Oryzias latipes: one gene and its partner. The protein of the gene in region 1 interacts with the protein of each later gene in a biochemical or structural test. Links are inferred from orthologs where the notes say so. Each region holds a gene or a part of one and is shown in the gene's direction. Other genes may lie near its edges.

What was found.
Region 2: the proteins of cflar (region 1) and dedd2 form a complex in vitro, tested with the Homo sapiens proteins (2 studies listed by BioGRID). The link is inferred for Oryzias latipes from reciprocal best matches to the Homo sapiens genes CFLAR and DEDD2.

The regions. Positions count from the first base shown.
Region 1 is NC_019879.2:19,821,467-19,825,713, reverse strand, and holds the start of cflar (CASP8 and FADD-like apoptosis regulator), read left to right. Parts: upstream 1-1,190; 5' UTR 1,191-1,452; coding exon 1,453-1,754; intron 1,755-1,838; coding exon 1,839-1,941; intron 1,942-2,075; coding exon 2,076-2,211; intron 2,212-3,112; coding exon 3,113-3,162; intron 3,163-3,249; coding exon 3,250-3,280; intron 3,281-3,487; coding exon 3,488-3,534; intron 3,535-3,629; coding exon 3,630-3,708; intron 3,709-4,247. UniProt on the Homo sapiens protein: Apoptosis regulator protein which may function as a crucial link between cell survival and cell death pathways in mammalian cells. Acts as an inhibitor of TNFRSF6 mediated apoptosis.
Region 2 is NC_019874.2:20,936,926-20,941,449, forward strand, and holds the start of dedd2 (DNA-binding death effector domain-containing protein 2), read left to right. Parts: upstream 1-1,497; 5' UTR 1,498-1,586; exon of another isoform or gene 1,587-1,587; intron 1,588-2,041; exon of another isoform or gene 2,042-2,064; intron 2,065-2,750; exon of another isoform or gene 2,751-2,754; 5' UTR 2,755-2,793; coding exon 2,794-3,265; intron 3,266-3,349; coding exon 3,350-3,472; intron 3,473-3,728; coding exon 3,729-3,869; intron 3,870-4,524. UniProt on the Homo sapiens protein: May play a critical role in death receptor-induced apoptosis and may target CASP8 and CASP10 to the nucleus. May regulate degradation of intermediate filaments during apoptosis.

The DNA.
Region 1 (4,247 bases):
TCAAAAGCTAACCAGTTTTCCGAAATGAAAGCTGTTGTTAGCCAGTTGATTAAGGCTAGCTAACGTTTTTTCATATTTGCCACGACGGCTCTAACCTGTGCACCGAGCTTAGCGTCACCACGTTAGCAGAGCTTGCAGCCGCTAACATGCCTCTTCTTGTAAGCAGCTGGCGGGCATCTTCGTCTTTTTCTTTTTCTTTTTTTAACAGTCGTGACCAGGCCAAACCCACTTTTAAAAAGCCAGGCAACATCAATGGGACATGGTGGTCTCCGGTTAAATGTATGCTCCACTTGGCGACACTGATATTGATAGCCCTCTAGTTTTGCACATAGACACCAACACAAGTTACAACCTGTACTGATAATATTCCAAGTCAGTCCCAACCTTAAAGTCACAAAATGAATTTCTCTCAGCCACGAAAATGATACTCACTTTATCAACGGATACATGTGGGACAGTAACCGAAACGTCTGTACATGAACTAAGCGGGGTCACTATTTTCCCTGGGTGGTCACTCGGCTTTCGAAGGTGTCTTTCAGCCCTACCGTTTGCTGTGAACCGCACAGGTTTAAGTCATCTCCCAACACTGCAAGGATGCCGAACCAGGGCGCAACGCGATTGGCTGGGCTTGGCGGACATGGTTGCTGATGCGTTCAAAACAATTGGAAAACACACAGTCGTTGGTTTGGTACATCGTGTGACTAAAATCATCTTCGTGCTAAGGTAGAAATCATTAAGGCAAATATAAAAAATAAAATTGAACTTGGTTTATGTAAAATCATCCGACAAATCTATATCCAAATAATATATATATGTAAAATCTATGGATCAAATAAAATAATACAAATAACAGGATTTTGCTCCATGAAGTACATCAAATATGCACTTGCATAGCAAAAACCATGTTGCTTATTTGATTGTTCTTAATAATTATGTAAGAAAAATGCTAATATATGTCTTATTTGCTTTTAACATTAACTTAATTTGTGACATATACGTGTGACATTTTTCTGAAATAATATAGATATTTATAAGATAATTGTGTTGGTTTTGAAGATGAAAAAATAAAGACCATTATTTCTATAGCTTTAAAAAAATCTTCTTCTTTTTTTTAAGTTTCAGTTTCAATTTCGTCACGACGGTACTTTCCGGACTGGGGGTTACTTCTTAAAAGCTCGTAACAAGCCTACGTTTATATGTAGGCTCTATGAGACTCCGTCTGTTTCTTTTCTACTTAATGTTTTTACAGCTGAAGGCTACTTTTATTTTTACGTTAAACCAGGGGACTTCCGGTTATCGCGTTTGGATGTTTATGGACTTTGAGCTGATAGGAATTATCATAAACGACCGTGGTTTGATCTAGCCCCGTTAAATTAGTCAGTCTACAGTTTAGATACATTTTTTTAAATACTCTATTATTCTGTTTTCCGTCACCAGGCTGCTTCCGTACCGATGGCTGCTTTGGATCATCAACGTAATCATCTTTACTACATCAACAAAATAGTTGAGGCGCTGAGTAGTAGTGAATGCAGAAAGTTGCTTTTCCTGTGTGACAGCACGAGCGCAGACAGTAGTGTACAGTCCGTGAGGGAGACTCTAAAACTCCAAGTTACTTGCCACGACAATGCCAGCCAGTTCCTAGCAGAGGTCATTTGGCGCATGGGCAGATATGACATTTTGAAGGAGCTCTTTACTCTGAGCAGGAATGCAGTAGAACAGACTCTGGAAAACAGACAAGTTCTCTCAAAATTCAGGTAAAACCTTTAGTGTCTTGTTTTATGCATGCCTGCTTGTTTGTTAGGTAATTCTTTATTTTATTTTTTTGTTTGTTTTTGCAGAGTACTGATGGCCAACATAAGTGAAGATCTAGACACAGAAGACTTAGAACAGATATTGTTCTTATTAAGCACAACATTGCCACGTGAGAAAAGGGATGCAAAGGTAGAGAAGACGGATTTCCACTAGGTCAATAGACGTGAATGGAAAGTGTGAGTGCGTGTGTGGAAAACCTTTGTCATTATGCACTTTCACTCTGAAAAAGCTGTTGTTTTTCCCCCATTACTTTCCCACTGCAGAGTTTCTTGGACGTGATCGTTGAACTTGAGAAACTTGATTTAGTTTCCCCAGAGAGAGTGGACATGGTTGAGGAGTGCTTGAGGAACATTTGCAGGATCGACCTTGCCAAAAAAGTATCCACATATAAAAAGACAGGTACGGTATGCATTGTTATAGAAAAATTACTTGTGCTTAGTTTGAAATAGGAAGTTTGGGCTATGGGGAGAATGACTGATGGGAAACTAGGAAGTGGGAGAGTAAGAGGAAGTGTAAGAGGGAGGGTATTTAAAGACCCAATCTGAACATCTTTTAATTTATTTCATAAGCATTTCCAAGTGCTCTTTATTTAGTATTATGCAGTTTTTAGGCAAAATCAAAAAAAATCCATAATTTCTGCAGAGCGACAGGCATTTATTAGAAAACTCACCTCTGAGTGTGGGCGGGACGTTGGTGTGAAGTAAGCCCACCCTCCATACCCATCATCCATGTGTTACACTCTCACCCTCTAGCTCACATCCCCCAACACCCCCAACTTCACAATACCGGTGCAGCAAAAATGGCAAGCAATATTGGAGCTATCCAGCCGTACAGTTTTGAGTCAAACGTCAGCTCGGATGGAAAACAAAGACGTACATGGATCTATTTGTAGATGCATCCGAATTGCTGGGAGTATGGAGCTTGTGGCTTGCTGTAGTGGGTTTTACGTCAGAGCTACAAGCTTTTACCAACGGCATTTTTTCATCTGCTCCTGATTCACAATGATTTGAACAAAGAAATACTCAGCAACTCAACTTTCTTTAAATATGTCCTCCATCATGAGGACAATTTTCATTGTAGTAGGTCTATGAGAACCGGTAAATGAGCCGCGCTCTGTTTTTAAAACATCTAATTAATCAGTATTGACTATATTTATATATTAACAATGAGTCAAATACTTTTATACAAAGTTTTTTTTGATTGTTTTTGTTATAAACTAACAATAATTACTGATTTCACCTAAAAAAGAAACAATTTTCTTTAATTCTTTGTTACCAATGTTTGTTTATGCAATTTTCAGCTCAGAGATGTGACCATCATTCACCTCATCAGCAAAGTAGTAAAACCTCTGTAAGTAACACAACATTTCTTCAACATTTGTACTCTCATAATTGAATACTTTTGATAAAACATTTTCTTTTGTTGTGCCCTATTTAGGAAAGAAGGCAAGGAAAGGCCATAAACATAGGTGAGACACATGACAGCTAAATAATGTGTTTATGACAGAGATGTTGTTAGAACAACAAAATAGTCAAAGTCAAAACATGGACAGTGTCTAATTACAGTATTTTAGTGGGGCTTTTCAGTTACAACATTACAGTTGGAAAGCCCCAGAGTAAATGTAGGGTATTTGGGTTTGTATGCCCTTAATTATCATGTCACTCTCTCACAACAGTCAGAGAAAGCCCACCAACATCTGAATGCAGACAACCAAGCACTACGGTAAATTTCCACTCTAGTATTACCCTTTCTTGATCATTTCAACATGTTAAAACCACATAAAATGGTAATTTGTCAAATATTTGTTCACATTTCAGAGTCAGCTTGAGCAATACAGCTTGAACAGCAAGCCGAGAGGACTGTGTGTGATCATAGACTGTGTGGGTTTTGATCAAGGTGAGACACAAATACTTATGAGCATTAAAAAAAAGTTCTCTACACAAAAAGCAAGAATTGGAATGGTGCGTCTGTTTCCCAGTAGACATGTAACGGTTATTCTAAAAAGGTTGAATTTGTGGTTTCACTGAACAAACTTAAAAATTCCAGTTCAGTAAAAAAAGGAAATGAAAGAAAAATGTGTAGTTCCAGACAACATGAAACGCGAAAACAGCTGTCTTCAGGTTGGCTTCCTTCAAACGCCACTTTTTTTTTAAAAGTTATCTATATTAAATGGGAATTAGTCTTGGTAAGTTATTTTAGAGAAAACTACACATGCAAAAATTTTAGAAAATTGTTAGAATTCAAGTTAAAAAGCAAATAAAAACAAAATTACTGGCTTTTTACATCCAAATAGAGGTTTATTTGTTAAAAAATAAAAAAAGGTTCATAAAGCCATAAAGGTCTAGCCATGAGTACTGAAGGCAGTTGCCTTTTTAACTCAATTGTGCAAGCGCTTATCTAAAGAACATGCAACCAGAGCATCCAACATGCCTTTT
Region 2 (4,524 bases), on another chromosome or scaffold:
AAGTGGGATAAAAGAATATTAACGTTTTTGAGTTTGAGGTTGTTTAATGAAGAGCCTAAGTATTAATAATAATTATAGAAAATCATAAAATAGAAAATATATACATATGACTGAAGACATATACCCAAATACTACAATGGGTAACTGAGTAAACAAATGAACGGAAGATAGAAGCTCAGGAAAGATCTGACTCCTTTTCTTTTCCTTTTTTGCCTATTGTTTACTGTTAACATGCAGATAAGTGCATGCCAAGTTTGCATGTGGGATGTTGTTACATCATTGGGTTTGTCAAGTGGTTTAAAGATTTTGTTTTGTTTAGTTTCTCCATTTTGCTTCTAAAGTTAATTTAAAAAAAAAAAAAAGAAAAAAAAAGATTGTCTTATTGGAAGTTTGCATTTTTCCTCGTATTTTTCAATGTACAAACGATATGTATCCTTTATAAAACATGTCAGAATTTTTCTGGATTCTTCTTTATTTTCCCCTGTTTAAATGGGAAATAAAACACCATACACCATACAACCATACAATCTTTACGATTTTTGTAACACTCCTCGAGGTGCATCAAAAGCAAACTTAAATAAATAAATAAAAAAGGAAAAAGGAAAGGAAAACCTGTTTACTTTATTTTTTAAAGGTAAATAACAATTGATATATTTTATAAAATGTGTTTAAAATGGAGAAACAGCAGTAACTACAAAAGAAAAACTACATGATCACTAGTTTCCACATTATTCTTAAGAGCATAGAGGTTAGATTTTAATTCAAACTTGTTCCTGATTGGCCAGAAACATAGGAGCGGATCTCGTAAGTGGAAAATTTTTGTCAACAGGGCTTGGTCACTGCCACATCACTGACAAAGGCCGAGAACTGAGCCAGAAAACGACATTTTGAGCAAGTAAAAATCTTTTAAGGATCAAATTTGTCCATATGTGTCGAATTATAAGTGGAATAACTTTTATAAAATGAATACTACCTACTTCTTCGTGTCTCATGTTAAATCAAACTGATTGTACGAAGATCACAGTAATTTATAAACATTGAAATGAAAAGACATAAGATTTTACCTTCGTGATGTGTCAAATGTCAAACCTACAGACGATGTAGATACTTACAGACCAAGTTATGGATAAAAAGCCAAGTTGTTTTGTTGCTGTTGGTCCTCACGGATGTGATGTGGCTGAAGAAGAAGAAGAAGAAGAAAAGAACTTCCTACAACACCAATGCCGCACACTGCCCCCTGCTGGTTGCACCAAAGAACTCCCCAGTCTATGATGTTATTTTTTCCCTTACATTTAACCATATAAAAATATTTTATTCATTCCTCTATTTAACTTTGAAGTCGACAAGAAATCAAAAAACATTTTTAGTGCCAAAGTGACAGAGATTACTACCTTGATTCTTTTAGGAACAATCTGGGAACAATCGGTATGTTAAGTGTGGCAAAAACGTGACCTTACGTTATGAAACCCAGCCCGAGAGCTGTGATTGGTCAATTTACGACTCACGTCTAGCCACTGTCACGTCGCACGTTGCATTGTGGAAGTTGCTAGATCATCCAGCGTCAGGCAAGCTATCGCGGCTGAAAGGTGAGGTCTAATGCACTCTAGGAATATTCTCTTTGTGGAAAATGTAACCTAATAGTGTTTTAAAGGCGCGTGTTTAACGTTACGCTGTATTAGTTGACGCCTTAGCGTCTGCTAGACTAATAAGTTCAGCGGGATTCATCATCATGTCGTCGCACCGACCGTCGTTGAAACAAACAATAGACCGTCTTATTTGTCTCTAGAATTGTTTTTCTGCTAATTTTGCGTGGTGTTACGTGAAGTATAACTGCCAACGAGCTCCTGTGTGTGTGTTTTTAATCGAACAATTGAAGAGCTGTGTGTTTTGTATGTGTTGTCCCCCACCCTACTGATTACATAACTCTGTTCAGAGGAACGGTACCGAGTCGGTAAAGATAACATTAGCAATTGTAGCTAGGCATATATGACAGTAATTAAACACATCTCGATGCATTTCATTATAGGTGGTAGCTGCTTGCAAGTTTGAAGAAAATCTTAAATAGTGAGTGTTCGTTTGTGGCACACAATGTACACACAAAGACTTAACATGACAACTACTAGCTACAATTAAAATACCCACTCCGATGAAAATGAAAATTTAGCTTAGAATTGCATTTCTGAGTATTTCTTTATGCAAACTGATGTGAATTAGACGCAAAAAGCTGTTGCAAAAAAACGTGTAAGTGTGACGTAGAAGCTACTACACCAACCAAGCTCCCTCACTGCTCCATTCTGATGCTTCATTCTGACACATTTGGGCTTCATTTTCCTCGTCTGAGCTGCCATCTGGCTCAAAACTGTACGGTTGGATAGCTCCAATATTGTTCACAATTTTTGTTGCACCACTAATGTGCAGTGGAAGTTGTGATTGTGAGGGGCTGTAAGCGAGTGTGTAAAGGGATGGTGGTAAGGGGGGGCTAACTCCATGCCAGCAGTCCTGCCCACGACTCTGGGGGGTTAATTTCTAATTAACTCCTGCCGCTATGCAGAAACCTTCCTAGAAAACAACACGGGGAACGCTTTGAAAATATTTTAAAAGATGATCGGAGTGGGGCCTTCAAATTGTTACGTTTTTTAAATGAAATTATTAATTAAGGAACCTGATACCATTTGTTTGGTTTCAAGTTTCAAACATAAACATGGTTAAAGTAATTTTTTTGTGTTTGTTTTCTTTTTCCCCTAAACTCCACAGTTTTATTTGAGTGGGAAACTTGGAAAAAAGGGGTAAACCATGGCTTCAATGAATTATCCTGAATGCACACTGAAGAATTCCTTATACTGGGATGAAGCAGAGTGCCTTAACTACTATGGGATGATGTCTCTTCATGAGATGTTTGAAATAGTCGGAGCTCAGCTGACAGAGACCGACATTGAAGTGCTCTACTTTCTATTGAATGAAACCTACTCAGCCAAACACCCCCTAGATCCGGAAGGCTGGACAGTTAAACCCTCAGAGGACAGTCCAGAGGACCCGGGTGCCAGCCCAAGTCCACAGCTGTTAAAAGCGTGGAGGCGGTTGAAGCCGAAAGAATCGCAGCAGCCTTTAGTGGACTCAAAGCCCAAGAGTGGCCTTGAGCTGCTGCTGGAGCTGGAGAGGAGGGGACACCTCGGTGACGGGAACCTGGAACCTCTGCTGCAGCTGCTGAGAGTCCTCACCCGCCATGACCTGCTGCCTTTAGTGTCTCATAAAAGGAGGCGAACAGGTGTGGATTTCACTTTTACCACCTGTCTTATTAGTAGGTGTGATGTTCATTTCAGAATTACTCATTTTCTGTATTTCTTTTTAGCTTCTCCAGAAAGAATTGGAAGCAGATATGAATTAGACAGCGCAGAGTTGATCTCTGGGTTACATCACACTTGCCAGCAGACGGAGATGCCACTCCCATCTTTCACACAGCAATTAAACACAGGTAATTGCACAATTCTATAAATGGTAAACAATTTTTTGCACCTTTTTTTCTCTCCACTAAATATAAAAAAAGCACATTTTAATAACTAACTTGTTTTTGTTGCTCTTAAAATGTACATATTTTTTTTGCCTATTTAAAAACATTCTGCATTTAACAAAATTGATTAAAGGTTGTGCAGCAATGAAAGAAAAAAATACTATTGGAAACATGATTGTTTACTTGCAGGTCTTTTTAATTAATCCCTTTTTTTCTTCAGATATTCACTCTCCTGTGGCAGAGTCATCTACTAGGAGACGAAGGAGGAAGAGGGGGAATGGCTGGAGCCGTAAGTCCAAGAAAACAAGCCGACAGGTCCAGCCTCTGCCTCCGCCACCAGCACCACAAAAAGTGTCATGTGGTAAGGGCAACCTGCACACGTTAAAGTTGTTTCTGTTGTAATTGTCACCGGTTTAGTCCCTTTCTTTTTCATTTTTTTTCTCCCTATCAACTGATTTCTCACCTAACACAAAAGCTATTTGAGTCAGCCTCTTTAATATTTCACCAGTTCTCTGTAGTTTCTCTTGTGTCTTTAATACAAAACCTTTGTCCGTCTATGTCAAACCTCAGCATGTGTCATAATGTTTACAGTCTGAGTTCTATACACCTATGAGTGTTTCAACTATTTCAAACATTGTGTGAGAGCAGGGTTCATTTATTTATTACATGTTTGGAAAAAAGATACCCTTAACAGTGAGGAAAATGATTATAGTTTTGAATCAAACCATCACAATTATGGCAAAAAGCAGCAGACCATGCAAACACATTCACAAAGAGCACTCAAAGTTTGAATGGAAACAAATGATTTGCCCATGAGGTCATTTCTCTGTTCAGATGTCTTTGGTAAAACATTTTTACCTAAATAACAGCAGTTAATAACAGTCATGCTCTCATTACAATATTGTGCCCTTTGTATTTTTGGGTTGACCCTCCCCACATGATATTACAGCTGTTCTTTTGGGACTTTGCGGTTTAACCCAACTCGTCGCTAAAACTGTCTACATTAGTTGGTTTTA